4 linked regions of the Pelodiscus sinensis genome follow. The protein of the gene in region 1 purifies or fractionates together with the protein of each later gene. This does not show direct contact. Links are inferred from orthologs where the notes say so. Each region holds a gene or a part of one and is shown on either strand. Other genes may lie near its edges. The genes, in order: ZRANB1, STRN4, GCC2 and HECTD1.

Evidence for each region.
Region 2: the proteins of ZRANB1 (region 1) and STRN4 purify together in Homo sapiens (affinity purification with mass spectrometry; 4 studies listed by BioGRID and IntAct, with this or other methods). This does not show direct contact. The link is inferred for Pelodiscus sinensis from reciprocal best matches to the Homo sapiens genes ZRANB1 and STRN4.
Region 3: the proteins of ZRANB1 (region 1) and GCC2 purify together in Homo sapiens (affinity purification with mass spectrometry; 3 studies listed by BioGRID and IntAct, with this or other methods). This does not show direct contact. The link is inferred for Pelodiscus sinensis from reciprocal best matches to the Homo sapiens genes ZRANB1 and GCC2.
Region 4: the proteins of ZRANB1 (region 1) and HECTD1 purify together in Homo sapiens (affinity purification with mass spectrometry; 5 studies listed by BioGRID and IntAct, with this or other methods). This does not show direct contact. The link is inferred for Pelodiscus sinensis from reciprocal best matches to the Homo sapiens genes ZRANB1 and HECTD1.

The regions. Positions count from the first base shown.
Region 1 is NC_134718.1:53,943,555-53,951,298, reverse strand, and holds the start of ZRANB1 (ubiquitin thioesterase ZRANB1), read left to right. Parts: upstream 1-4,729; 5' UTR 4,730-4,999; intron 5,000-7,744. UniProt on the Homo sapiens protein: Ubiquitin thioesterase, which specifically hydrolyzes 'Lys-29'-linked and 'Lys-33'-linked diubiquitin. Also cleaves 'Lys-63'-linked chains, but with 40-fold less efficiency compared to 'Lys-29'-linked ones.
Region 2 is NW_027465849.1:5,733,553-5,740,530, forward strand, and holds the start of STRN4 (striatin-4), read left to right. Parts: upstream 1-3,978; coding exon 3,979-4,218; intron 4,219-4,260; exon of another isoform or gene 4,261-4,311; intron 4,312-6,978. UniProt on the Homo sapiens protein: Calmodulin-binding scaffolding protein which is the center of the striatin-interacting phosphatase and kinase (STRIPAK) complexes.
Region 3 is NC_134711.1:235,141,297-235,149,308, forward strand, and holds the start of GCC2 (GRIP and coiled-coil domain-containing protein 2), read left to right. Parts: upstream 1-4,995; 5' UTR 4,996-5,799; coding exon 5,800-5,961; intron 5,962-8,012. UniProt on the Homo sapiens protein: Golgin which probably tethers transport vesicles to the trans-Golgi network (TGN) and regulates vesicular transport between the endosomes and the Golgi.
Region 4 is NC_134714.1:51,019,480-51,027,421, forward strand, and holds the start of HECTD1 (E3 ubiquitin-protein ligase HECTD1), read left to right. Parts: upstream 1-4,929; 5' UTR 4,930-5,117; intron 5,118-7,942. UniProt on the Homo sapiens protein: E3 ubiquitin-protein ligase which accepts ubiquitin from an E2 ubiquitin-conjugating enzyme in the form of a thioester and then directly transfers the ubiquitin to targeted substrates.

The sequences.
Region 1 (7,744 bases):
ACATCATCTTTGTTTTTTACTCTTTTTATCCTTATTATGAGACATTCAATGGATCTACCTCCCACTTCATGGCAGGTGTATTCATGTTTGATATACAAGACAGCACATCCTCCCTTTTTGCTCTGTATTCATATTCCAGTCATATGAATTATCCCACCAAGTCTCTGTGATGCTAATTATGTCATAATTGTGATAGTAGTATTTCTAGTTCACCCTGTTTATTCCCCATGCTTTTTGAATTAATATACTGGCATCTGAGATGCTCATGAGATTTTCCTTCTGTGCTCTCTCGTGTCTCCTTTCTCCCTGCTAGGATTGCCCATGTTCCCTCCAGATTCTGACCCTTCACCCAGTCTCCAAGTTTAGGATTTACCGGTGGGCTTTTGTCTCCTTCCCCTGGGGAACCTAGTTTAAAGTGAAGCTCACTAACTTAGCCAGTCTAAATCTGAAGATACTCTTCGTCTTCCTTGATAGATGGACCCTGCTGCTGCTCAGCAGTCCTTCTTTGAACATCATCCCTTGGTTGAGTATTGTACAATACTCTATTGCAAAATGTTTCAATGTTTCCTTCCTAAATATAGATTCCTTCCTAAATATAGATTCCTATGTGATTTATACATTTATAAGCACATTGAATCAGAGCAGGAACAATAATAGAGGGATTTGGGAAGAAAGCTTATTAGAGTAAGCATCAGAAGAACTGAAGGAATATGGGACATCTGTAGTGTCCGGGTACTGAGCAAAGGTGTGCAGCAAAAGGAATTACATTTTGCATAGGATTTAAAAATTTTATTTCATTCTGACAAGGAATGAAAAACTAACCATTTCTAAATTCTTCTTAACAGGTAACTGAGACCTAGGTAGTCCATCTGACAGGCTGTTATAGAGTCATGGATCCTGGAGAGAGGTCATGTGGTTTTAAGATTCATGCACGATTCACTTTTGATAACAGTATTTCTGATCAATATTTAAAGGACTATTTTGATAATATTCAACTACTAGCACATTTACCCAGCATTGCTTGGGTCCTTAACTCAATGAATGTTTTTCTTCATTAAAATCATTGGTCTGGGGTGGGACTGGGTATAAGGGGGTTCAATATGCAGGCTGCCCCAGGGACAGAGGACAATCTGCACGATAGCAGCTTGGGACCAGGTGTTAAGTACCTTTCCACAGTTGCTGCAGCTGCTGTGGGTGCAGTTGGGAGAGGGGTGCATGACCCCTTGCTGGGGCACAGACAGACACACAGATAAACAGACACAGATAGACAAACTTTCTGAAATATATAGTAGATAGCTGTCCCTTTCTCCACCCTTGCCCTTTACTGGCCTAGTGGAGTTATAGCTGCCCCAGTACCCCTCTCTGGCTCCTGGCTGCACCCCTGTGGTCATTCTACAGTATAACTGTCCCTCCTACCAAACTTCTTCCTTTCCATTTTATGAGAAACCATTGAATTCCAGACACATCACATTATCCTGGCACACCCAAACCCTTACATTGTTTTAAGTTATGATAAGAGGAAGCTGCATATCAAATTTGGTGGTTCTAGCTCTTACCACTTAAGAGGAGTATTTTATTATATGAAATGTTTCTATGTTGCAAAATAAACATGTTATTTTACAAAACAATCATTTTCTGTTTCTAAAGTTACTTAAACGATATAACTTGTTAATTCGGTTGCCATACATTTTCCTCTTTCCTGTGTGACAAAATTCATTGTCTGTCTTGTGTTACAGTTTTGGGGATTTGATTCTAGAGTCCATGAAATTCTTTCCAGAATTATCTTGCAATTCTGCTGATGCGGTTCCCTGAGTTATATTTTACCAGAAATCTAACTGTTTCTATGGAAAGATGGATGACTTGCTGAAAGATTTAGGAAATACCTTGACAGAGTTGAAATTGATAATTTATTCAAAACTACAAATTCTGTTTGATTTTATATAAACCACATCTTTCCATTCTATCTAATCTAAAATCGTTATTTCTGTAGATTTCCTGTAGTTAAAGTATTTGAGAGTACTAAGCATTTACTTTAGCATTCACTATTCTTCTTTTAGATAACTTCCTTGTTAAATGCTTATTTAACATGCTAAGAGCAAGTTTTATGAATTACTTCTAATCACAAAGAATATGGGATGGAAATATGGATGGAAATATTTCTTTTAGATGACTTATCCACGTTCATCTTGGATCTGACAAGAAAATATGGTTGTCCTCATTTTTTTATGTAGCTAAATATAATTAAGCCTTGATATGCTTGCCAAAGTGCAGAGTAGGGCACCACTTGCTGTGTGGAGATAGAATTTAGCAAAGAAGTAGGCTGGGAAGGGCAAATGATCCATTTTCCTAGGCTGCTCAGTGTTTATAGCAATCCAATTTCCTTGCAAAGAGAAACAAAGTGTCACTTCAGTCTTTGAAAATAATTACATTTGGCTGGTCTTGATTGGCGTTCTGATCTGTTGGACAATGGGATTTTTCCTAGTGTTAGTGAGCTATGCTATGGTGCGTTCATTATTGGGTATCTTTCCCTTACTCCAAATGAATGTGAAGGAAATTATGTAGCTGTGCAAAGTATAGTTACCCAGTCCATAACCTAGCTGGTAGATGGCTCCATACTGCCTAATACAGAAAAATGAAGTACAAGTTGAACCTCCAAAAACTGGGACTCCCTTGTCTGGCATGATTCTGAACCAGGAAGCCCTGGCTGGTGGCCCCAGTAGCACAGTTGAGGCCATGGCAGTCCCGGTAGAAGGGTCAGAGCCAGGGATGTGGCAGCCCTGGTAGTGGGTCCAGGGCTTCAACAGCCCTGGTAGCGGGGCTGGGAACATGGCAGTTTGGGCTGCTGGGGGCTGTGGCAGCACGGCGGGGTGGGTGGGGGAGGCTGGCTTAGGCTGGCAACAGGGAGAGGAGGCAGGCTGGGAGCCGGTAGCAGGGAACCTCCCCTGGTGCTGCAAATTCCTTCATTCAGGACTGGTCAGGTCCCCAGGGTGCCAGACCAGAGAGGTCCAACCTGTAACATGTGGATCAGACTTGGAGAGGAAGTAGAGGCTGTGTGGCGGAGGTGACCAATGGGAGTGTGGAATCCACAGAATAAAAATTAGGTATGAGGAAGCCTGAGAGCTAGGACTGAAAAAGTGTGAGCTAGGTGAATAATCTGTTGCTGTGAGGAAGCCACAAAGAGTAGGAGCTAGGTGAGGACTCAGCTCCTTTTGCTAGTCCATTTCACAGGGTAGCATAGAAACCAGCAAAGTGCCCACAATAGTGGGACCATTCCTTACCTTAGACAAGTAATAACAGACACTTGTGAGGGGATGGTAAGAGGTTAATATGCTGTCTGCCATTGTAAGGGTTCTTGGAAACTATTCCTCTTTTTCACAGAGAATCCCCCTGAGGAAGTAAGGTTTTTGTTATTCACCTGATAGCTATCACTTTTAATTTTATATACACATCTGAGTGGATATCTATTGATTTTGAGAGCCTAAATATTGTTTCCAGTGACTAAACTTGCACTAATGATGTTTAGGATATATTACACAGGTCCAGTATTCATGGAAGCATGCAGATGTCATTGAATACCTTGGCAAAAATATGCCTCATGATGGAATATATTACATTTATGAAGAGAAAGTTACTAGAATAAATCCACCGAGAAGAGATTTATTTATCCATTATCAAAGCTTTCTCACAAACAAAATATCTTAATTTAATCCTCTGCATTCTGACACTCTCCTGAAGTTTCCCTGGGCTCCTGGGAAATATGTGATATAGCTCTTCCTTTCCTCTGGATCCCTGAGCTGGAGAGATAAGGGGAGATGACAGCTCCTTTCTGGACCTCTGTGATAACCGTCAAGGCTTTGAGTCCCAGCAAGAGACCTGTAGCCATACCATTGGGAAGATCAGGCCCCTGGAGATAGATGAGGCTCATTTCTGGTCTGGAAGGAAAGAGCTGGTACTTTTTAGGTCTGTGGAGTAAAGGGCTGCAGTCTCTTCTGTTCTCCTAACAGCATGGAAAGCTTCCTATGCTGTGTCTCGGGGCCAGAGAGCAGGCTGGGGCAGGGTGTCCTCCAGCGAGGTTAGCGCACTGCAGCAGCACAGGGGTAGGGTGGTGGCATGTTTAACTTGTGTAGGGTGGCGGCTACAAGGCTGCTATTAGAGTAGGGACTCATGCACTGGCTGCAAGGAGAGGAGAGGTGAGTTTGCTTGGAGGCACTGAGGGCCAGGCAGCCTGGCTGCATGCTTCCATGAGGTGTCACGCGTGGCCTCGCCCCGTGGCTGGACAGCACAGACCAGTTTACATTCCAGTACAGGGGCGTGAAAGGCTGGGGCGGGGGCTCTGGTGCCGCTTGTCCCCGGGGGGGGGGGCGGCGAAAGAAGCGCGGGGCTGAGTGGGGGGTCTCCTGGGCGGCTGCTCCCCTGCTGGAGGCTGGATCTCCTGGGTGGTCCCCTGGCGGGAGCGGGCGATGGAGAGGCGCTGCGAGTGAGTGGGGGAGGGGAATCTCCGGCTCCTGAGAGAGGCGGCGCTTGCTCTGGGCGGGTGGGCGGAGGGAGCGCAGTCCTCCGGCGGGGGCATGGGGGAGGGGAGAAGGCCCGCATCCTCACAGAGGCAGGGATGACATCACCGGTTCGCCCCAAAGAGGCGCTCTCGAATTGGCCAGGCGGACGGCGCGCTTCCCGCCAATGAGCGTGCGACAGGGCTGCGGGCTCGCTCACGTCAGAGCCCTCTGCCGTATGGGGGTTTATTTTGCTTTGGGCCGCTCTAGCCGCCGCCATTAGAGGGTTCGGGACTTGGGAGTCTGGGGCTACAGATTGCCCCCTCCCCCCCGGCTGTGCCGAGTGGGAGCGCCCGCGGCCGAGCGAGCCAGCTAGGCCGGGAGAGACCATGTCCTGAGCGGGGAGCCGCAGCCAGCGGGGCGGGGGGATGGTGGGGGGCTCGGGGGGGTGCTAACGCCGACTAGTGTCCGAGGGACGGATCCGGGAGCAGGAGCAGGCGGCGCTCGAGGTAAGGCGACTTCTCCCCAGTGGGCCAACCACCAGCGGCTCCCAGCGGGGCCCTCTCTCCGCGAGCCGCCGGGCTGCCTTCTGGGGCAGAGCTCTCCCTGCCCTGCCGGACACTTAGGCCGGGCGGAGGGTCCTGCTCCTCGGAGCCGTCGAGCCTCCCCCTCCACCGCCACAGGCTTCCGTCGCTGGGTGCCCCCTTCTCAGCTCCTCCCCCTTTCCTCGCGCCCCTTTAACGATCCGGCGCGCGGGGGGGGGGGTGTTAATTGGCCCCTCCCCCAGCGGGGCCCTTGCTGGCTTAGAGCCACCCCATGTCAGTTTCCCAGCGGCAGCCCCTTCCAGCCGCCGGAGCCAGCGCTGCCTCCCACCCGGGGCCGGCAGGGCAGCTCGTAGGCTGCGCGTTGAGCTGGTGGCCGCGCCCGCTTCCCTTTTCCTGACGGGTTGGGGGAAGGGGGCTCCTGAAACTTTTGCTGTCGTGACTCGGGGTCCCGGTGTGGAAAGAGGTCGGAAGGTTGCTTGGGTGTCCTCCCCGGCCACCCTCACGTCCCAGCCTGGGGCTTCAGGCGCCTGCTTCGGGGAGACGCTGCTATTGCAGTTGGCTTGTTTACTGGTGTAGAAATACCTGCGGCGTGAACTAAGTTGGGTGTTTTTGTTGTCGGAGGATTGCCCCCCCCCCCGCGCTGACTTAAACGGAGACGCGTGGTACATCGTGTGCCCATATAGGCTTTTGAATTCCACCTATTAATACCAAAGTCCTGTTGTCTGAGTGTGAGTCTTTTAACTTGTATCCTAACTTGAATGACTAAGGTTCACTTCTCCATTGGAAAGCAGGAATTTGCTTCTGCTGTAACTGTTACCTGAAAGGTTTCTTTTTGCACTTCTGTATGCACAGTTTATTATTCTACTCCAAAAGCGCTATAGCACGCATTTTAAGGGTCTTGTTAAAGTAACAGGACTCTTAGACACACAAAAAAACAGGAGACTGCCTTGTTTTCTGTGGTTCTCTTTTACTCTGCTGCAGTACTGAGATCCACAGGAGTGAGATCATAGGTCTCCTGACTCCCATTTATTCCCCCCCCTCATTTTTTCTAGATCTGTCTTTACTTCTGTACTACAGAAGCTACCTGAAATTTGTGAATTATTTGTTGTATTTACATGTATTGCAGACAATAGGTTAGCCATAGTTAATGTTGAACTATGTTCAACTATGTACCAAGTTGTATAAAGCATTTGTGATTTTGATGTACAAAGATAACCACAGTAAAACAATCAGATCCTGTTCTGAATTCCATGTAATTTAACAACTGAAATAATTCTTTATTTACAGACTGTAACATAATATAATATTCACTATAAGGAGGACCCCAGACTATCTATATCTCCCTCTCTAGTTTGTAGTTCTACCTACAACATGGTAGCAACCAGCTTGCAGATAAAGATGAACTATACAACCCTCTTTGGAGTTCATTAATGCAACTCTATGAACAGCTGTAAGTGGTTAACTTTGAATGATGCAAGGCACTCTCTTTCCTTCAATCCAGAGTCTGAACACACCTCTTCCTGATTAGTCTCAGCTACCCTATTAGGGCTACATGGTGGTATTATGATTGCAGATGTAGAATCTGGAACCTCTGCATGCTGAGCACAGAACAGCTGCTAAGACTTTTGTTAGCAATGCATCTTTTGATAACCATGAGGAAAATAACTTTTCTAGAATTTGAGAGTTGCCATTTTGAAAAGTAGTTTTTTTTAGAGGTACTGGAACAATAACTGAGTCATTACATGTGAATTTTTAAGCAGTTAACCTAGCTTGCAGATATGTATTTAGGGCAAGGGTATGCAAATTCTGGCCCATGGGCTGGGTCTAGTCCACAGGGTTAATCCCTGCCAGGCTACCACCTCTGTATTTACTTGCACCTCTGCAGGTATTGGGCAATTGCAACTCCTGTTAGCCATGGATCACCATTCGTGGCGAACAAGAGCTGCATTCACCTGATATTTGTAGAGATGCAAATAAATGTAGCAGCGGTGGGTTGCCATTTTTATTGCCTACCCATGACTTAAGGGCATGATAACTTTTTCTAGTGCTAGCATACACTAAACTCTCACCTCTCAGCTTTTTTGTGTGTGATATCAGTTACATACAGATCTGTCAGTCTGCTGCAGATGTTAACCTTTTTTTTATTAGTATAACTGTATTCAGAACCTCAAAACAGTAATTCAGGTTTATTCTGCACTTAATTTCTAATAGCATGGTAACTGAAAGAGGACATTGAAACCCCCATTAGTAGTGTTCAGCAATCACCCAGTGGAGTATTTGTATGGTGTAGCAACACAAGCCATCTCCAATGTCATCTGGCTTTGGAAGTGGGAGGCCAAGAACTTATGGTTTTAACTTGTGCATGGTGATGTAAAATCATAAAAAAATTTGTTTTGTCATAGTACTGGACTGGAATAACATTTCTGCATCTAGTGCTGCTCATGGGCTTTTGGAAGCTTTATCTATATGGTGTAATCCTGCTGAAGAAAGCATTTGTTGACAAGCTGGTAGCCACTTCTCTAAATGAAAGATCATGGTCCCCCTCAGCAACCAGATTTGCAAATACACCAGTCCTTTCTTATGATACTAGATGATTCCAAACTGCTCAAAATAGTTAAGACCAAAGCAGACCGTGAAGAGCTTCAGAAACATCTCACCAAACTAAATGATTGGGCAACAAAATGGCAAATGAAGTTTCATGTTGATAAA
Region 2 (6,978 bases), on another chromosome or scaffold:
TCCTCATTTTTGTGTAATTCCCCTTTTTGAAATTAAATGCCAGGGTGCTGGACTGCTGAGGTGTTCTTCCCACCACAGGAATGTTGAATGTTGTTATATTATGGTCACTATTCCCAAGCGGTCCTGTAACGGTTATATCCTGGACCTGATCCTGCACTCCACTCAGGACTAAATCGAGAATTGCCTCTCCCCTTGTGGGTTCCTGCACTAGCTGCTCCAAGAAGCAGTCATTTAAGCCATTGAGAAATTATTTTCATCTCTGCTTCTCTTCCTGGGGTGACATGTATCCAGTCAATATGGGGGTAATTAAAATCCCCCATTATTATAGAGTTCTCTATTTTGGTAGCCTCTCTAATCTCCCTCAGCATTTCTATGTCAGTATCGCTGTCCTGGTCAGGTGGCCGGTAATATATCCCTACTGCTAATTTCTTATTATTGGAGCATGGAATTTCTATCCATAGCGATTCTATGGAACATGTTGATTCATTTAATATTTTTATTTCATTTGATTCTACATTATCTTTCACATATAGTGCCACTCCGCCACCCACCCGGCCTGCTCTATCCTTTCTATATATTTTATATCCCGGTATGATTGTGTCCCACAGATTTTCCTCATTCCACCAGGTTTCAGTGATGCCTATTATGTCTATCTCCTCCTTTAATACGTGGTACTCTAGTTCACTCAGCTTATTAGTCTGACTCCTAGCATTTGTGTACAAGCACTTTAAAAATTTGCCACTGGTTATTTGTCTGCCCTTCCCTGATGCATTGGATTCCTTTTATGCGGTTGTTTGTCAGCTCTGGCCCATGGTTTGCCCTCTCCCCTCCTCTCTTTCCGACTACAGCTTAGAGAATCTCTATCAACGGATTCTCCTCTAAGAGAAGTCTCTCTCCGATTTACATGCATCTCCGCACCAATCGGCTTTCCCCCATCTCTTAGTTTAAAAACTGCTCTACGGCCTTATTAATGTTTAGTGCCAGCAGTCTGGTTCCACCCTTGTTTAGGTGGAGCCCATCCTTCCTGTATAGGCTCCCCCTCTCCCAAAAGTGTCCCCAGTTCCTAATAAATCCAAACCCCTCTTCCCTACACCATCGTCTCATCCACGCATTGAGACTCTGAAGCTCTGCCTGCCTACCTGGCCCTGCGCGTGGGACCGGAAGCATTTCCGAGAACGCCACCATAGAGGTCCTGGATTTCAGTCTCTTTCCTAGCAGCCTAAATTTGGCCTCCATGACATCTCTCCTACCCTTCCCTACGTCATTGGTACCTATATGTACCACGACCACAGGCTCCTCCCCAGCACTACACATAAGTCTATCTAGATGCCTCGAGAGATCCGCAACCTTCGCACCAGGCAGGCAAGTGACCATATGGTTCTCCCGGTCATCACAAACCCAACTATCTATGTTTCTAACGATCGAATCACCCACTACTAACACCTGCCTCTTCCTAACTGGCATTCCCTCCCCCTCAGAGGCATCCTCAGTGCGAGAGGATACCGCAACATCCTCTGGGAGGAGGGTCCCAACTATGGGATGGTTTCCCTCTGCTCCCATTAAATGCTCTGTTCCCTTGAGACTTTCATCCTCCTTAAGAACACTGGGGCTCTCAGACTGGAGGTGGGACAGTACTACAGTGTCCCAGAAAGTCTCATTAACAAAGCTCTCTACCTCCCTTAGCTCCTCCAGTTCAGCCACCCTGTCCTCCAAAGCCCGAACTCGGTCTGAGGGTCAGGAGCTCCTTGCAACGGGTGCACACATACGCCACCCGCCCACAGGGCAGGTAATCATACATATTACACTCGATGCAATAAACAGGATAGCCCCCACTCTGCTGCTGGGCTTCTGTCTCCATGTTTGTAATGAATAAGTTTAAGTACAAACTGGGATTCTTTTAAAACTTCTGGAGTATAGATTATTCTAAGAGTTAGGTTTTAAAGAAGGACACAAGTCACTAGTTCCCTCTAAGTTCCCTCTCCAAACTCTCCTGTTACCTGTTCCTGGTCGCACTCTCCGTGCTCTCCCAGGTCGCTGAGTCACAGGCTTATATAGCTCTGGTAGCCCCTCCCCCTGACTGAGGCTCAGCCAATTAACAGAGGCTTCTAGATTTCAAACCTTTTAGAAGCTCCTTCAAACAAACAAAGCAAACAAACCAGACAAACACAAGCTCAGCACACTGCAAATAACTCCCCCCCACACAACACACACTCCAGACAGCCACTTACCACAAGGGTCCCATTTTTACTCCTCTTTTCCCTGGAGAACTCCCTCTCCAAACTCTCCTGTTACCTGTTCCTGGTCGCGCTCTGACCAGGTATGACAACTCTGTGACAATCAACAAGGATCCTGAAGTGACTGGGATAGAAGTGAGGGGGGAAGGAAGGAGAGAAGCACACTGATAAAGCTGACTACCAAGCAATGGAGGATTTGGGGTAAGGCTAGCAGTTGCTCCAGATAAAGATGTAGATGGGGAAAGAAAATGGTGACCACTGAATAGTTGAAAGGACAGTAACTGCTCTGAATAGGGGCCAGTATGGAGCTACGGCAATGGATGAAATACTCCAGCATTATGGCTAGGGAGAGGAGGCAGATTTTATTTGCCTTCCTCCAAACCAGACTGAAGTCTCAACTCTGTGCTGAGAAGGGATCTACCCTGGGGGGCAGAGAGAACAGTATTTTGGGAAGGAGCATGATCTGGGAAGGAGGCGGCCTGTCATTGGGGTGGCCTATGCAGTCCTGGGTGGAGGTGACTGTACTTGCAGTGGTGAGGAGCCTTGTGCTATGGGAACCTCTACTTGTTTGCTGTGGGTGGGTAGGAGAAGCCTCCCTGGAGTGGGCCCTGATCAAGACCCCCTGCTGAAATGGGAACTGCTCACTGTCTGCTTTTGGGATAGGGCAGAGAAGAGACCCTATTCTAGAGGGAACTTGACTGGGGTACCCACTTTAATTTGAGTGGGGTGTGAGGCATGGGAGGTGTTACCATGGGAACCCGTCCCTGGCTGTTGGGGGGGGGGGCATTTGAACCAGGCTATGAGGGGGAACTGTCATGGGAGCTGCCCTCTCCCTGCTCCGGGTGGGATGAACCCAGCCTGCAAGGTGGGAGGTTGGAGGGGGGCGCTGTTACCATAGGAACCCCTCTCCTTGCAGGCCTATTCTGGGGGGCCCCTGGAACCCTTCTCCTTGCTCTGGCTGTGGGGCAGGTGAAGGGACCTGTTGCCATGGAAACCACCCCCCACTTCCGGGGGGGGGGGGGGGACAAGCAGACCTACCTGGAGGATGTGGTTGCCAAGGGGGAAGCAAGCCTGCTCTGGGGGAGGTGCTGTCATGGGAACCTCCTGCTGGGGGGGTGGATATTCCTGGGGGGGGGGAATGGGAGGGGACGTTGCCATGGGAACTCCCTGCTGTGGGGGTGGGTCGCAGGCCTACCGGAGCAGGACCGTTGCCATGGGAACCCCACACTCGGAGGGGGGTAGCAGCCTACCTGGAAGGGGCGTTGCCATGGGAACCCCACACTCAGAGGGGGGGAAGCAGCCTACCTGGAAGGGGTGTTGCCATGGGAACCCCACACTCAGAGGGGGGAAGCAGCCTACCTGGAAGGGGTGTTGCCATGGGAACCCCACACAGAGGGGGGAAGCAGCCTACCTGGAAGGGGCGTTGCCATGGGAACCCCACACTCAGAGGGGGGAAGCAGCCTACCTGGAAGGGGCGTTGCCATGGGAACCCCACACTCAGAGGGGGGTAGCAGCCTACCTGGAAGGGGCGTTGCCATGGGAACCCCCTGCTGGGGGAAGCAGCCTACCTGGAGAGGCCCGTTGCCAGGGGAAACCCTCCGCTCGGAGGGGGGAGCGAGCCTGCCGCGGAGAGGAGGGGGGGCGCGTTGCCATGGGAACCCCTCCCTGCCCCCGTCCCGCGGCGCGGGCCCCATTTCCTGGCGGATCACTATCTGGCAGGAAGTGCCCCCCCGCGCGGCTCCCTATGTGGCAGCCGCCGGGATCCATGATGGAGGCTGAGCGGGTGCTGGTGCGGGCCCAGCAGGCCCCGGGCCCGGCGGGGGCCGAGCCGCCGCCCCCCCCGCCGCAGGCCCCGGGCCGGCCGGCCGCGGGCTCCGGGCCCGGCGAGCTGAGCCTGCCCGGCATCCTGCACTACATCCAGCACGAGTGGGCCCGCTTCGAGGCCGAGAAGAGCCGCTGGGAGGCCGAGCGGGCCGAGCTGCAGGTGCCGGGGCCGGGCCGGGCGCGGGGAGCCGCGGGGGGTTACCGGGGCCGCCGCTGCCTCCGCCGCTGCCGCCATCTTGGAGGGAAATGGCCGACGGGACCCCGCGGGGGGGGAGAACCCCCCCCAGGATTGGGGGAGCCCCGTGGGGGGGAGGGGGAGTGTCAGGGCCCCCCCCAGGACTGGGGAGCCCCGTGGGGGGAGGGGGAGTGTCAGGGCCCCCCAGGATTGGGGGAGCCCCGTGGGGGGGAAGGGGGAGTGTCAGGCCCCCCCAGGATTGGGGGAGCCCCGTGGGGGGGAGGGGGAGTGTCAGGCCCCCCCAGGATTGGGGGAGCCCCGTGGGGGGGAGGGGGAGTGTCAGGCCCCCCCAGGATTGGGGGAGCCCCGTGGGGGAGAGGGGGAGTGTCAGGCCCCCCCCAGGATTGGGGGAGCCCCGTGGGGGGGAGGGGGAGTGTCAGGCCCCCCCCAGGATTGGGGGAGCCCCGTGGGGGGGAAGAGGAGTGTCAGGCCCCCCCCAGGATTGGGGGAGCCCCGTGGGGGGGGAAGAGGAGTGTCAGGGCCCCCCCAGGATTGGGGGAGCCCCGTGGGGGGGGGAAGAGGAGTGTCAGGGCCCCCCCAGCATTGGGGGAGCCCCGTGGGGGGGGAAGAGGAGTGTCAGGGCCCCCCCAGCATTAGGGGAGCCCCATGGGGGGGAGTGTCAGGCCCCCCCCAGGCCTGGGGCAGCCCCATGGGGGGAAAGGGGGAGTGTCAGGGCCCCCCAGGACTGGGGGAGCCCCATGGGGGGAAAGGGGGAGTGTCAGGGGACCCCCCCAGGACTGGGGGACTCCCTGGGGGCATAGGAGGAGTGTCAAGGCATTCCAGGTCTGGGGGACTCCCGGTGGAGGCCGAAATTGGAGTGATAGGGCCCCCAGGACTGGGGAAGCCCTATGGGGGGAGGGTCACCTCCCCCCCAGGAACATGGGTGGGAACCTCCATGGAGAGGGAGTATCAGGATCCCCAGGACTGATGGACTTCCCATAAGAGGAAAAAGGGAGTGTCAGAGGCTCACCCAGTACTGGGATCCCCCCCCTGGGGGGATTGGGAAATTTCAGGACCCCGTCACAGAATTGGGCTGACCCCCTGACAGGGAGAGGGGGCGTAGACCTGGGTAGAGACTGGGAGCTGAAGGGACAAGTTGGAGGTGAGTGATTAGAGGGGGATACGGAATGGGGGAGGTATTGGGATCCTTCCCCCCCCAAAGTTGGCACCCCTCAGTTGTAATTAGGGTGTTGAGCATTCCTGTCCAAGAAGGAATGAAGCGGACTGGGGGGAGGAGAGGGGTATGTGACAGTTGCCTCCCCATAACACTGAGGGAAGGAATTAATGTGTTGGGCTTTTGTATCTGTTACCCTTTAATAGGAATTGGGGTGAACTGGGGGAGAAACACGACTGTCATTCTCTCCTTAGTGACCAGTGAAGGAATTGGGGTGATGGTAAGAAATACAGTTTTCAACCCCATAGCAACTAGCAGTGGAGTTGGGGTGATTATTGGGGCCAGGCCAGGAAATAATTGATGCTTCCCAAGAGGGATTGAAGAGGGAATGGAGGTGACAAGGGGAGAAATGTAGTCATTGCCTCCCAGTACGGACAGGGGAAGAACTGGGGTAAGGATATGCATCTGTCAACCCCATGGCAACTAAGGAAGAAGGGAGAGCGGACAGCAAATACTCAGACCGGTAATAGCTGGTGGTGGGGATATGGGGTTGAGGTGGGACACTGCCATCATATCCTAGTAGAGAGCTGCAGGGAGGTCGCTTCCCTGGGTAGCCTCACTGGGTCTGGTCAAGAGGAGCAGCTTCCCAGTTATTGGTGTTTGGTGCCAAGGGAATATCACTCTCCCAGCTGCATATGTTTTAAGGAGCAGGGGATGGTGATCTCCCTGCTAGGGTATGAAGACTAGCAGGGCTGTTCTTCCCCAGTAGCTCTGGAGATGGCATTTGGATGTGAGGAACCAGAAATCTCCCCAAACAACCATGCTAGGATTGCCCAGGGATTAGGGCTGTGAAGCATTTTATTAACTTCCGTGAGCAGCCACAGCCAATGGATCTGAGGTTAGTAATATGGGTGAATTCAGCTCCACAGGGATGGAAGGATGAATTGGTTGGGATGGAAGTAGGTGCTGAAGATGTCAAGGGAATGCCCTGTCCCAAATGGCACTTTCTCAAGCCCCCCTCGAGAGGGGCAGTGAGCCAGGGACCTTTGAATGGTGCAACCCATCAGCACCTGGGTGAGAGAGTTACTATCTTCTTAAACACTGATGGGTTTGCAGGGCACAGGAGAGAGGTGAATAAAATTGACCCGATCTTGCCAACTTCACTTTGATGCCCTGTTTTCACATGGCGAACGGGTGGAAGAGGTGAAGAGTAGTAGTTTATCATCTGCCAGGCTGGAAGCATGTTGCAGGCTGTAAAACATCTCCAGAAGGTCTCAGATTTCAGGATCCAAATGGCTGCTATGGATGTAAGGCATAAACTTCTGCTTTTTAGGGTACCTGCTTGTATATGGGCTGGTTTATAATAGCTGGTCTATGTAGCAAGGGGAATTGAACCAGACCACACAGCAGGGTTTGATGCAAGCAGTGGCCTGAAAGGCAATGGATGGGACTGAGTTCTAGGTACCAGGCGAGGGATTGTAAAACCGAAGAGGGCTGGGGAGTTAAATGAGATTAAGCTACTAGAAGAGCAGCACTGTGACTTGAGTCTGGAGGGCGAGGCTGAGGAGAGC
Region 3 (8,012 bases), on another chromosome or scaffold:
TGGAAGAACATGAACGTTCTCCGGCGATTTTTGTTCTGACTTTTCGCTGTCAACAAAATGTAGTAGTTTAAAACACTAGCTTAACCTCCCCCCAGAAAAAGTTTTGCTGCAGCAAGTGAAAGCACAAATGGTGCTTTCTCCCAGAGCGCTCTCCTGCATCCTCTTTCAAGGGGAGGACGTACTCAAACAGCAATCACACTGCTGACTTAGCGACAAGGCCTTGCTGCTAAAAGCTGTGCTTAAGGTTGCCAGGTGTCAGGTTTTGAACCGGACAGTCCAGTAGTTGAGCTTTCTGTTCGGGAAACAAACTGAGAAAATATACATGAGAAGATGATCAACCCTCGCCGTGCTGCCCAGCCAAACCCTCCTGTGCCCAACCAGTCCTGTCTGCCGGCCGCCAGGGACGCTCCCGCTGGCTTCTCACAGAGCCTGACCCAGTTTGGCTCCTCCTAGGCGTGTGCACCGCAGCGTGCGGGAAGAAACGCAGGAGAGAGGCACAAGGCTCGGGCGGCGCTCGCAGCTGGTGGCCTGGGCGCGCGACTGCAGCGGGGCTACTCGGACTCAGGCTGCAGCGAGTAGCGGCCCCGCCGCGCCCAGACCTGGGAGGGGCGGGGCCACGGGCGAGGAGGCGGGGACGGTGTTGGGGGCGGGGCCTGGGTTCAGGCGCTAGAACCCAACCCTCTCCCACGTTCACTAGTTACCATAGAAACACTCGGGAGGCGGCGGGCCCGGATTGGTGACCTCTGACCGGACGCGGGTGCTGACGAAGGCGGAAGTGGGAAGCAGGATGGGGCGGCGCTGAAATCCCCCCCGGACCCTGCCGGCTGCAGTCCCGCCATGGAGGTACCGGGGGAGGCGCCGGCGGGCTGATGCGCTGGCGCGGGGCCGGCGGCCGCTGCCCTCCCTGAGCGAGACCCGGCGCGGGGGATTAACCCCGCCCCCTCCCACCCCGCTGCGGCCGGGGGGGGGGCGGTGGGTGACCTTGGGCGCGCGGCTCCCCCAAGTCTCCCCCCGTGTGGGCGTGGCCGCCTCCCCAGTCCCGGGGCAGAGGGCGGGTCACCCCCTTCCTCTGCGCGCGCTCGTGAGCCCCTCCCCCCCCCCCCGCTCCTTCCCTGGGGGGGGACCCCGCGCTGCTGCGAGCGGGGGCAGGGGCGCTGCAGCGCTCGAAGTGACGTCAGGGGGCCCCTTTCAACTGTCTCAGCAACGTGAGTCCAGAGTCATTTCGGGCTGGAGTCCCGCCAGTCCCGGCAGCTCTTGGGGATGGGGCCGCTATAGGTTGCCCCCGTGCGCATCTGTTCCGCCCTAGAGTCGTTCATGATTGTAGGCACTGAGGTGTTCTAACTTCTCCCATTCCCTGCTATTAAGTTGCCCCAAAACAACAACCACCCCAATTTCCACAAATGGAAGCTGGTTGCAGGGGGAAAAAAACCCGCTTTAAGTTGTGTAGCTCTAAGTCCAACTTTTTTGGAATGTATCTTGGACTTATAGGGTGTGTCTAGACTCCTGAGTTTTGTCGACAAAAGTGGACTTTTGTCGACAAAACTATACCAGCGTCTACACTACCGCTGAGTTCTGTTGACATAACGTCGACAGAACTCAGCAGTTTTGTCGATGCTGGTAAACCTCATTTTACGAGGCATAACACCTTCTGTCGACAGAAGGTTTTATTGCCTGTAGGGTTGCGTCTAGACTACAGGGTTCTGTCAACAAAGCAGCTTGCTTTGTCGACAGAACTCAATGTGTCTGGACGCTATTTGTCGACAGAAGTTTTGTCGACAGATACTGTCGACAAAACTTCTGTCGACAAAACGCGGTAGTCTAGACGTACCCATAGTGAGGATGACTTGTACCACCCAACTACTGGAAAACTACACAGCGGAGGCATTTCTGGAGGGGCAGGAGGAGAGGTGTCTGCACATCCTCTCACTTCACACTGTCTATGATTGTTTTAGGGTAACAGCAGGGTGGTGATTGCCATAATAAACTAGACCCCATGAACCTTTCCAGTTTGGTATCTTCCTTTTGGGAGCAGTGCCAACCGCATTCATGCTTCAGAGAAAAGTGGAAACACTGTTATGCACCTCCTGGGTTAGTTGGTTTCTCTGTGGGAGGTAAAAATCCATCCTGAACACAGCTGGGGGTGACTAGATCTGTAGATACTTAGATGCTTTATAAAGCCTAATAAGAGCATTCAAGCTCTAAGGGACCTTGATGATATTTTAGAAGTCTGCTCAATGACTAGATTTCCTCCATTCTGCAGATCAAGTAAAATAACCCAGGGGCTACATAAATGTAATGGCAAGTGTCAAGTAATTTTTATCTCTCATAAGTACTGGGGCAGATATATTTTGTGTCGTTTTTGCAGTTACAGAGAGAAACAAAAAGGCTTCCAAAGAAAGTTTCAAATCATTGTATTTGTAATGTCAAATACATTGATAAATCCAGTGTAATCTGTGGCCTTTCTTGAAATGTAATTGTAAAGTTGTGATCGCATCTCAGAACGTGGCATAGTTTTGGATGATTAGTTTAAAAGATTAGCGTATTTTCCACAAAAAAATAGTTTGGTACTTCTGTGTAATTTGTTTGCATTGTGTATGCCTTGTTAGAAGCTTATTTAATTGCAAATGAGCAAAATAGACTCATAAAGTGAAAGTAAACGCATCTAGTCTGATAGTGTAAACAGAATGGTGAATCAAACATACTGTTTGTACAGTGTGGAAATAGTATGTATAGCATGGTGGCAAAGTCTTTTGTGGCTACACAGTTTATACTGTGTCTCATCCTGTCTGCTGAGAGTTCTGTAAGGTCTCTCTGTGTAGAGTCCCAATCCCTTTTTTCATATGCTTCTGCTTGAACTTTGAGTTTAAACTGCCAGTGTTTCTTCAGGTCTAGAGCTCTCCAATAACATGAAAATCAGAAAGTAATCCTACAAAAAGTAGAAACTGAAAAACTGCTAAGGAAGAGGGAAAAACACTTGTATACAGAGAAAATGAGAGGCAGAGGCACAAAATGAGGCCTAGCAAGGGATGTAAAAGACAAACGGGGTTTTTAAAATACTTTCTTTCTCTTGGTCCTAATGTAAGTGTAGGCCCTCTTAATGGAGAAGGAAAGTGAATATCATGATATCAAACAGGCTGATCTGTTCAGTTCCTATTTTACTTTGGTCTTCAGTAAAAAGCTTAATGATGACCAGGTACAAATCACAATTAATATTAAAACAAGGGAGAAGCCTACATAGGAAAATAACATGTTAAAGAATATTTAGATCAGTAAGATGTATTTAGATGCCTTAGGTTGTAGGCAGGATTTCTGTTCTATATAAATTGTATGCCCACTTCACCAGGTTTTTTTACAGTGAAAAACATCAGATTAAATGCATTTATAGTAAACTTCCGATAATCCGGCACCTTTAGGACCCAGGGGGTGCCGGATTATCAAATATGCCGGACTATCAGAAGGGGGGGCTATGAGGGGTCTGGGGTGGGGTGGGGTGGGGAGGATGCTACCCCAGACCCGCTCATAGCCCTCCCTTCTGATAGTCCGGCTCTGCCCCAGGAGTCCCCGATTCAGCCACTGCTGGTCAGTTTCAGCAGCGGCTGAATCAGGGGCGCCTGCAGCAGAGCAGCTGGGGTGCTGCTGGGTTGGTCCAGTAGCGCCGACCCTTGGCGCAGCGAGACCAACCCGTCAGCACCCCAGCTGCTCTTGGGGACGCCTGGGGCAGAGCAGCTGTGGTGCTGAAGGGTTGGTCCCGCAGCGCCGCTCCTCGGTGCTGTGGGACCAACCCAGCAGCCTTGCAGCTGCTCTGCCCCAGGTGTCCCCAAGTCAGCCACTGCTGATAGTGATCAGCGGCTGACTCCAGAAAGCCAGAGGCAGAGCTGCTCTGCCCCAGGCTTTCTGGAGTCAGCCCTGGTCAGTTTCAGCAGTGGCTGAATCAGGACGCCTGGGGCAGAGCAGCTGGAAGGCTGCTGGGTTGGTCCCACAGCACCGAGGGGCAGCGCTATTGGACCTACCCGGCAGCACTCCACCTGTTCTTCCCCCTGCTTCCCGGATTCAGCGCTGGTCAGTTTTAGCAGCGGCTGAATCAGGGAAGCTGGGGGCAGAGCAGCTCCAATGATCCGGCTGCCCGGAGCACTTCCGGGTTCCTGATGGTGCCGGACCAACAGGAGTGCCGGACTGTCAGATGCCGGACCATCAGAGTTTTACTGTACTTTCATGTTTATTGTACAAGTCTCTCTGTTTTGATAATTTGTCATTAAATCGGCTTCTGTTTAAGGGAAATCTGAATTAGCTCTGAAATACTGCTAATTGGGAGCCATCACTGATGGACAATTTAGAAAGAAGCTGAAGTCTTATAACATGCACATAACTTGTATAGGATTAGAGAAGGCCAAATCTTGTTTGTATCTTTTAAATAGAGGACTGAGAGAATTGTAGACCAACCAGCCTAACCACTACCCAGAAAGAGACTGAAACAAATTATTAAACAATAATTTTTGTGAGAACCTAGAGGATAATAGGATTATAAGGAATAGGCACCATAGGTTTGTTAAGAGCAAATTATGCCAAACCAACCAACTTTCCTTCTCTGATACTTACTAGTCTAGTGGCTGGGGAGCAAGCAATAAATGTGATATCTTGATAATTTTTTTAGTAAGCTTTTGACACAATCCACATGACATTCTCATAAGCTAGATAAATGATAGAAATGTAGCCGTGTTAGTCTGGAGTAGCTGAAACAAAATACAGGACTATGTAGCACTTTAAAGACTAACAAGATGGTTTATTAGATGATGAGCTTTCGTGGGCCAGACCCACTTCCTCAGATCAAATAGTGGAAGAAAATAGTCACAACCATATATACCAAAGGATACAATTTAAAAAAATGAACACATATGAAAAGGACAAATCACATTTCAGAACAGAAGGGGGATGCGGGGGGGGGGGGGAAGGAAGGTGAATGCCAGTGAGTTAATGATATTAGAGGTGGGGAAGGGGAGATGTCTGTGAGTTAATAGTATTAGAGGTGATAATTGGGGAAGCTATCTTTGTAATGGCTAAGATAGTTGGAGTCTTTGTTAAGTCCCCTGCGGAGAGTGTCGAATTTTAGCATGAATGCCAGTTCAGAGGATTCCCTTTCAAGTGCAGATTTGAATGTCTTCTGAAGTAGGATGCAGGTTAGCAGGTCATTGAGACAGTGTCCTTTGTGGTTGAAATGACAAGCAACTGTTTTTTCTTTGTGATCCTGTCTAATGTCTGTTTTGCGGGCATTGATTCTTTGGCGAAGTGTCTGAGACGTTTCTCCAATGTACATAGCAGACGGACACTTTCGGCACATGATAGCATAGATTATAGATAAATGTAATTTACATTAAATTCCTATAAAGTGAAAGACTGTTTGTGCAGTTACTTGTTGGTGAATTCTACATCATTGCACATGTGCAGAATTCATGTCCCCTGCAGATTTCTTTGCTTCATTACAGAAAAATAACTTCCGATGGGGAAGTAAAGGGAAGCCATGAGGCTGGTCACAAGTCCCTCCCCAGCAGGGCTGGCAAGTCAGTTTGGGCACCCAGAACAGCTCATAAAGATGTAAAATCACTGATGAGCTGTGGGGGCTGGGTGGTCATGCATGTGTGTGAGAGAGAGAGAGACTCTGTGCTTGCAGCATGGTTGGCATAGCAGTGGTCCCCAACCTTTTGGGGCTGCCGGGCACCCAGGGATGGGGCCACACATGCGCCGGGCGCCCGGGGGTGGGGCCACGCATGCGCCGGGCGCCCGGGGGTGGGGACATGGCCGCGCATGCACCGAGCGCCTGGGACCCAAGGCGCAAGAATGGCTCGGGCCAGCCCTGGTCACTCGACGAGTGCACGTAAATGTCCAGGCAGGCACCATGGCGCCCACGGGCACCGCATTGGGGTCCACTGGCATAGAGGGTCAGCGCTTTGGGGTGTTTCCGAGGAGGTAAGTGTGAGGCATGCTTTGTCCCCTCAGGCAGAGCAGAATATAGCAGCCTGCCAGCTTAGTGAATTGTTCCTATTGTTTTTAATGAATTCCCCTAGGAGTATAAACCAGATATATAAATTATTAAAGCACAATATGGCCTAATAAATGCTTATAATAAGTTAGTGATTAAAACTAAAATTTTGCACTAAAAAAATTCCTATAAAAATGGCAATGAATTTTTTGCTATTGATCTTTCTAAAGATGGTCAAAAGTAAAGATAAATTGCGAATTTGAGTCCCTAGCCCTCACTTGCTCGTCGGTTGCCTATGATGTAACACTGAGTGTATGGATATTTATATTTGACTAGTAACTAGAAGTAAAGGATCAATACTATTTACATTGCTATTAGAGAGGGTTGGGGATTTCCTCCAATGCTCCCCAATCCCATTCTCCATACTATCGTTTCAATAAAATTAACAAAATAATTGAAACCAGTATCATTGTGTTGTTTTAAGAAATAAAATATGTAGCAAGCCCTGCATGGATACAAATGTCAACTCATGGAGACGGATATGTGTGGATAGACATCAGTGTCTGCTGATCTGCAGGGCTTTACTCCCAAGAATCATTGTGGCCTATGGAGAGGAGCATAGTAACATTGCTCCTGAGAGCCCCCAGTCTGTGCTGGCAGCTCCTCCTGGCAGGATTTTTGCAGAATTAAGAGTAGTTTCCAGTTTGACAGCAAACATTGAAAGGTCACATCTAGTGGGGTCAGTCCTGGATCTAGTACTGTTAAAATATTTTAATTAATGACTTAGGAAATGGAGTGGTGAGAATTCTTAAATTTATTAATAATATCAAAGTGGGAGAAATTGCAAGCACTTTGGAAGACAAGTTTAGAATTCAAATGACCTTAACAAATTGGAGAATTGGTGTGAAATGAACAAGAGAAAACTCAAAGAAGACAAATGCAAATGAATTCACTTAGGAAGGAAAGATCAAAGACACAGCTACAGAATGGGGAATAACTGGTTAGCTGGTACTGTTGAAAAGGATCTGTACAGTAGACCACAAACTGAACATGAGTAAACAATGTGATGCAGTTTGAAAAAAGGTTGTTGTTATTCTGGTGTACATTAACCAAAGGGATTCATGCAAGATATGGAAGGTAATTGTCCTGCTCTACACCCACTAGTGGAGGTCTCAGCTGAAGTACTGTATCCATTTCTGAGCAGCACACTTTAGAAAAGATATAGACAAATTAGGGAGAGTCCTGAAGAGAGCAACACATATTACTAAAAATTTAGAAAATCTGACTTGTGAAGAGAGGCTGAAACAATGGGAAGAGAACATATTTCAAGACATACTATTAGTCTTAAGAGCTGTTATAAAGAGAACAATGGCCAATTATTCTATGTCTGCTGACAATAGGACAAGAACTAATGGACTTTATCTGTAGCATGGGGGATTTAGGTTAGATAAAAAACAAGCTGAACAAATACCTTTTATGGGAGGTCTTGGTCTACTTCGTGCAGGGGCTGGACTTTAATTTTTGAGGTTCCTCCTAGCCCTGCATTTCTATTCCCAAGTATATGTAAACATTGTCACCTTTCAAATCCAGTCCAAGATGATCATCTTTGAGCGTAACTTGGAAGATCCTACCATAAAATCACTGTTCATTTAAATGATATCCCTCTTCTAGTATTTTCATTTGTCTACATTTTTAAGACTGGTCTTTTGTTAGTAAGTTATCAAGCTATACTTTCCAGACCAGTTGCAAATAAAAAAGATTTTGTCCACCCTCTAAACACAAGTTTTTTGGATTATTATTAATTTTTAAGACTATATTGGCTTACATCATGCAGTGAATGATCTATCCAGATCTTGATGTGATAGATGCCTGAGCTCATTTCTTCCATTTTTTTGTTGTATTTTTTATTAATTTTAATTTTCTAGAGTTCTACCTTCTACTGGAGGAGTTAGTTATTGTGAAGGTACCTCTGGCTCTTAACTGGTTCTTAACTGGTTAGGAATGAAAAGAAATGAGTTCTGACATGCTATGCTTTGTT
Region 4 (7,942 bases), on another chromosome or scaffold:
AAAGCTTTGATAAAGTCAAAATATATCACATCCACTGACTTCCCCACGTCCACAGAGCCAGTCACCTCATCATAGAAGCTAATCAGATTGGTCAGTCATGACTTTCCCTTGGTGAATCCATGTTGACTATTCCTGATTACATTCCCCTCTTCCAAGTGCTTCATAATGGATTCCTTAAGGATCCCTAATTTTTCCAAGGACTGAGGTGAGACTGACTGGTCTGTAGTTCCCTGGATAGTCCTTCTTCCCTTTTATAAAGATGGGCACTACATTTGCCTTTTTGCAGTCATCTGCGACTTCTCCTGATCTCCATGAGTTTTCAAAGATAATGGCCAAAGGCTCTGCAATGATATTTGCCAACTCCCTCAGCACCTTTGGATGCATTAAATCTGGACCTAGGGATTTGTGTATGTCTAACTTTTCTAAATAGTTCTTAACCTGTTCTTTCTCCACCGAGGGCTGCCATCTCCTTCCCATACTTTGTTGCCTAGTGCAGTAATCTGGGAGCTGACCTTGTCTGTGAAGACAGAGGCAAAAAAAGCATTGAGTACTTCTGCTTTTCCCACATCATCTGTCACTAGGTTACCTCCTTCCTCCAATAAGGGACCCCACACCTTCTCTGATCACCCTCTTATTGCTAAAATGCCTGTAAAAACCTTTGTGTACCCTTCACATCCATTGCTAGCTGCAATTCCAATTGTGCTTTCACCTTCCTGATTACTTCCATGCAGTATATTTATACTCCTCCCTAGTCATCTGTCCAAGTTTCCACTTCTTATAAGCTCCCTTTTTGTGTTTAAGCTCATCAAGGATTTCCTTGGTAAGCCAATCTGGTCCCCTACCTTATTTGCTTACTGCGCATTGGGATGGTTTCTTCCTGTGCCTTCAATAAGTCATCTTTAAAATACTGCCAGCTCTCCTATTATATTCAAGTTGATTAGCACTAGTCCTTTTCTTAGAAGACCTGAAATTCAAATTGTCATGTTTGCAAGAGGCTAGTTATGCAACATGCAACACACCCACTGTATCCATGAATCTCTATTTTTGTAGGCACTCACCAGTTATTTCCAGAAAAAGCATAATATCGGGTATTACATGCACAGTAGCACCATTCATATTTGGTGCCACTCATTTGGATTTGGTTCTTCAAAACTGACCCTTGAAAATCAAAATTTTCTAAAAACTCTTCGGGTATGTCTACACTACCATCCTAGTTCGAACTAGGGTGGTAATGTAGGCAACCGGAGTTGCAAATGAATCCCGGGATTTGAATTTCCCGGGCTTCATTTGCATCTTGCTGGGCGCCGCCATTTTTAAATGTCCGCTAGGGCGGACTCCGTGCCGCGCAGCTACACACGGCACGGACTAGGTAGTTCGGACTAGGCTTCCTATTCTGAACCACCGTTACTCGTGAAACTAGGAAGCCTAGTCTGAACTACCTAGTCCGTGCTGCGTGTAGCCGCGTGGCACGTAGTCCACACTAGTGGACATTTAAAAATGGCGGCGCCCAGCAATATGCAAATGAAGCCCGGGAAATTCAAATCCCGGGCTTCATTTGCAACTCCGGTTGCCTACATTACCATTCTAGTTCGAACTAGGGTGGTAGTGTAGACATGCCCTTCTACATGGTCAGTTATCTATATATTTTAGAAATGTGCATCCGTGTGTGTCTGTCCATTTATGTGTCTGTTCGTTCAAGAACTGCTCCTAAACTGTAGGAACTAGGATCACCAAATTTGGTATGCAGCTTCCACCTATCCTAATTTAAAGAAAAGTTAGGATTTGGTTGTATCCAGAAAGTGTCAGGAATAGGACTCTTTTCCATGACATGGAAAGGGAGGGGCACAGAGAAGAGAATACTGAAAGTGGCCATCAGGGGCAGTAAGCATGGGGGAGAACTATACTGCACAGTGGACACTTGCACAGCTGTACCACCAAGAAAGTAGCCATCAGACAGGAGCTCTGCCATCTTGCCTGCCACCAGATTGGGTAAGTAGCCCCCCTCATCCCAAACCATTTCCTCCTCCTGGCTCTTGGCCAAAGTCCATGCTGGTCAGAGGGGTTGGGAGGAGATAGAAGGCCCCGGGTGGCTGGCAGAGGTGGAAGACAGAAGGCTCTGGTGACTGTGGCAGCTGGAAGAAAAAAACATCCCTGGTGGCCAGGGGGAGAGCAAAGGTCTGTCCCAGATGGGTCCTCAGGCTTTGAGACCCGCCTTACCTCCAAGCCCTCACTCTTGCACTTCCCTCATCACCAACCTCCTGTGCTCCCTCCTGATGCACTAGGCCCTGCTCTGAGTCCTGCATCCCCCACATGACCAGGTCCCTGCCCTGAAGGACCCAGGCAATTCTGGGTAAGTCTGCTATAAATTCTCATTAATATATGGGGATTAGTGCATGCAGTGGGTTTGTCACATACTATATGTTACTCTAACTGTTCAGACCATCATATATATTTTGATATTTTTTAAATATTTTTCTATTTTTCAACAAATTCTACTCAAGTAATGAAAAGTGCATAAATATAAACGGAGAGAGAGAAGGAGTTTGGCACCAGTTCACAGATATGTTTTGTATATGAATGAACTGTTCTTGAACTACATCAGTTTCTCAGGTTTTCCCAGCAGTCATGAGTATGGTATCCAAATTTTCCTGTCCTTTGAACGGCACCTAGTTTCAAACTAGTTTTTTATTTCTTTCCCCCCCTTAAGTGCCACAACATAGTTCTGCTCTGTTACAATTGTACCTTTCCACTGATTTCTCTCAAAAACGAATGAGAGTAGCATTTAGCTTCTAGTGTTTAGTGACTGCATCAGTCATTCAAGCTTCAAGGGCCTGAAATCGATTATTCTTTTTTCTGTAGCGTGATCTTCAAAACTGGTGAAGAGGGCATAGTTGCATCACTGAAAAAGCATTTGGAACTAGCAGTTTTTGGGGCAACAGAAGCTGCATCTCCAATAAAAGCTTGAATAGACTGGGGGGAGGCTTAATCCTATAATATGAAACAACTATTAACTGATGGAGGTGTTGTCTTTCTTCTTTAACAGTCTAACCCTTTCACATGCCACCAAGATTTATTCATTGCTTGGATTTAGTCATGAGACTGGGAGCCACTGTTCTTCATTGGATTCCAGTCATGAGTGAAAGGAGCAAAATATAAATAAAAAATAACTCATTTCTTGAATGACTTTATGGTTCAGAGTGGTCTCTACTCAATTTATATAATTAAAAAATTGGGTAGAAATTCTAAAGTCTGGGATGTAAATCTCCTTCTATAATCTTCCTTGGATTTAGATTACTAGCAATCCTTGTACTGGAGGGAATTCAGATGTAACCTATTACCTGGGGGTTAGGTCCATCAGACAGATGATCAGGTACATAAAGCCTGTATCAGTAAGTGAGCAGGAGTGAGACTGCAAGAATTAAGGTTATTCTTGCATTTCCCAACTTTTGAATGCTTGATTTTATCCCTTTGACCCTTTTCCTACCCACTGATTTGTACAGGATGACTTCTAAATGTATGCAGAGCTCCAGAGGTTTCAATGGGGTTCTGTACAGGTGCAGGGCTCTTAGCAGGATCAAGTTCTTAACATTCTTCTTTTAAGATAGTGGACTTTAAAGATAATAGTATAAAAATAAATATTTGTTACAGTATAATAAAAAGATGACTACTGATCATGGTTATAAGATGATGCCATACCAACATATCAAAATGAGAAGTGTAGGTGGAGTTAGAGACAGATGTTTGAGTTACATGTTTTTAACAAAAACAAAAAACTGTAGAAGGCTTTTAAACAAAGAAAACAAAGGTTCTGAGAATGCTGCTGAGACAGTCTCCTGACATAATTAGAACACAACTTTGTCTTGTAATACAGACAGGACTTAGTCATGAAGCATGATACTGCTGTGTAAAACATAAGACTGTAGGAGGCTTCCAAAAAACAATGAAAACATGATGTGCAATTTATGGTTTGGGCTGAACTACACTATAGCTATTGTGAGGAACTTTACTCAGTGAGAACTAACACTGTCAGCCCAGTAAACAGAATAAAAAAGGGTTTTTTTTAATCTTTTATAACAAATAACACTCTGTTCAAAACTCCTCTTTTCTATTCTCCATTTCTACCCCCACCTCTTTTTTGTTGTTGACCATAAAGTCCTATGAATGAGTGTTTAATTTATTGTGGGTGCCTGGCCAAGCAAATTGAGATTATAAACTCATTTTTAGCCATGTTCCAAAGTGCAGAAATGTATTTAGTCTTGAAAAAAATATATTATTTTGTGTGTGTGTGTGTGTGTGTGTGTGTAAACATCCACGTGTGTGTGTGCGTGCATGTGTGTTAACTATCTTTACAAAAATTCTATGATATACTTTGTTTTACAGAGGCTGTAAACACTTTTTGCTCTAATACCTCTATCACAGAATTTGGGGAATAGGAGTCTTCTACTCAGTAGAAATCGTTTTCTGAGGAACATCGGCTGTGGGTTGTGGGGGCAGTTGAGTTCTCAACCTGTTTTTCATAGGTCTATATACTCTGTTATTTTTTTCAACTCCCGCCTCCTACCCTCCAGCTGTCCTTAATTTGTAGGAATAATAAAATTATATATAATATTCTACATGCTGACAAAACTCCCTTCTTCTATCTCCATCCTTCCCAAATTTTTCTGACATGAAACCCACTGAAAGAGGGGTTTCACTTTAAAAAAATAAAAACAGACAAGCACTTTCATTACACCAGCTATACTATATCACTCAGACACACATCATGTCAACATGAGTAATCAGAGTGTTTGAGCAACGTCACAAGCAACCTTTCACACAGTTATTGTTACAACAAAATTGCACAAGACAGATCATGGTAAACACACTGTGTTTTAGATCTGACGTATAGTTGCTCTGTAGTTGCCAGAAACATTGCAAACATTAACACTTACTTCAGGAAAGCCAAGACGTTCACATGGCATTCTAAATACAGAGCTTCACCAGACAGGGTTTTATTTATGGAAAAAAGAAAACATTTATTTTCTGGATGAAAATATGGCTTTAGAAAACACTTCAAAGGCAAAGAAGACTAAATAACGAGTATTTGTACAGCAAAACTTAATTAGCTGGCAAAACCAGTAAGTATCTGACCTTGTCAGGCCCCTGTTATTGCTCTGATCTATTTAGTGCAAAATAGTTTGATATATTTAGAAACGTCTATTTCCCACGTGTACAGAGCCGGGCAAGGAAGTTAAAGAAAACACATTTTATATGTTTCTAGGTCAATTTAAAATTTAAATAGGGGAGTTGTTTTTGCTAAAAGAGCTAATGACTAAATTTGTCTTAATGCTGTGTGTCAGGGTGATGTTAACAAAAAGTAGATAAATTATCCTTGTGGCTCTCTCTCTCTTTACTTTCAATTTTGGCAAGGTAACTTCCTATGATCAAGGAATTTTGTCTTCAGTCTAAAATGTTACTAATCTGAAACTTTGTACAGAAAATGGCCTTGATAATAAAAGGCAAAAATAAATTTGTTAAATTGTTTTTTCAGTTGTACAAGGAAAATATGTGTTTCTATGACCTCCCATTGTTTGACCCCACTTCTTGCTAGACGTTTATTTTCAGATAGAATATTTTGTACTTATGGAACACTGTCTGAGTAACAAATAATGTTTCACAAACATTTAGCCTGGTAACAGCCTTCTGAGGTGGTTATTACTACTCCATTATTATTTCATAGGTGAGGAAACTGAGGTACACAAGGGTTTAGTCACTTGACAAGGTCAAAAGGAAGTATGCATCAGCACTGGGATTAGAATTTAGGTATAGTTCCCAGTCCATTTTCCAACTAGAGCTGGGTAAACAATTTGTATTGAACCTTTATTCAGATAATATACACTTTATTTTCTGGTCATGAACATAAAGGAACATTTATAAACTTGCTCATATTTCATAACTGTTTGACTATTTTTTGCAAGCAAATTTCAGCCTGTGGATTCAAACATTTACAAACTGTTCACTATGATTGTTCCTACAAGCCTTTTGATATTCAAGCTATGTGACTTGTTACCCAGTGACGTATTATTTCTGATCTGTGTCTGGATAAACAAATCTTTATAATTCTGCCTTAAATTAGTTTAATGATTAAATAAAGGGCTTGAAATTTACTGAGTAAATATTCATATGAACAGAGTTTTACGCCCAGGAAACTTCACTTAAATAAATAAGTATGCAAAAATGATTGAAGCAAATAAAATGTTTTTACAATCACCTTGAACTAGTTTTGCACTCTAGCCAATTTTATCTCATTTTCTATATTAAAAAGCAATCAGTTTTGAAGATGGAGCACATTTAACTTTTTGTGATATCTGGAGACAGCTTGAAACAATAGCTGAGACTGCTGTCAGCTGTCGCATTTCATTTCAATTGGGTGTTTACTCTGAAGACTAATGAAAATATTTTAATTGTCAGTTGCTGACCAAGGCACACAAATAAAAGTGTGACAGACTTATCATGATACTTTAAAAGAGAGATAAGCTATGCGTAGAGCCCTGAGTGGATACAAGATTTGCATCCACATCCACAAAAATGAGCTATGGATATCCCCACTGATGTCCTAAAATGTACATATCTGCGGATATAAAGTGAATATCGCAAATTTTCAGGGTTCTAGCCACAAAATGTTATCTATCTGCATCCATATCCACAAAAATGAGTTGAGAATATAGAGCAGATATCTGCAGATTTGCAGGGCTCTAACTATGGGAGTCTCAACTGGATTAAGTTTGTGTAAGAACCACTCCTTAGTTTTTTTTTATTGTATTCTAAGGAATAAGAGTCACATGTTTAGAAATACAAAACATAAAAACTGAATATTCTCTGACGTATTAAAGACTTGAGAATGAAAAGTTTGGTTGGTGTCTGAAGTAGTACTAAGTCTCTTGGCACTATACTTTAATACATTAAAATAAATACAAGCAAATCAAATTATGAGATATCAGATGAGTTAATGAACATAATCAGGAGTACATGGATTTGGTTTTAGTATTTTAGGAATGCAGGGTTAGAGCCACAAAATGGATTGAGGCTCACATTTGCAATGGCAAGCTTCGTGCCCTGCTGTGCAATGGAAGCCTCATGTTGATTTGGGCAGCCAAACTCCTGATACAAAGCATGGAGAGAGTTAGGCACCTAAGAGCGGGACTCACACAAGTCAGCAAATGGATTGGGGAGGGGATTAACCTAGCCAATAGGAAATGAAGAGGAGAGTGGCGGAGTCTAAGCCTGATCCATCAAAGGGACTTAGGTTCCTAACTCTGGGCCAGAGGGATTTGTTGTTCAAAAACAGAGATAAAATCCAGTTTTTCATTTTACTTTCAAGCAAGACTGTCTGGGAATAAGAATAATTCTAGAGATGGTGTTTCTTAATGAGTGACACAGAGACATCAGCATGTGACAAGTTCTGTGTGACACAGCATGACTCCCATTGGCTTTATGCCCTCTGTATACACCCCATTCTTCTGATTACAGGAAATGTCTATAATATAGACAACAGTGATACTCAAACCTGCTATAATCTTTTCTTACAATATTTATATTATTGAGCCTCATGTGACTGATTTCCTTACCAGACCTTCATGTGATCCCACAAAGAAGAAAACTATTGTGAAGGCTAATTGTGCATGAATATAGAGATTTTTAGTCTTTAACTCTAAATGTGTAGTATTTTGCTTTATGTTTAGAATTAAAAGAAATAATTGAATAACTATTTAGTGTGCACTGAAGAATTTATACAGGAATATTATTTTCCTATGATAATTTTCAGCCTTAGAGTGGAAAGTTTTGGGGCAGCACTGTGTCTTTCTACCTTAAATGCTACTGTATGCTATATAAAGAGTAGTTCTTCAGAGTAGTGTTGTGAAGAATATTAGTTCATGATTGCACAACACTTTGAAACAAGGGC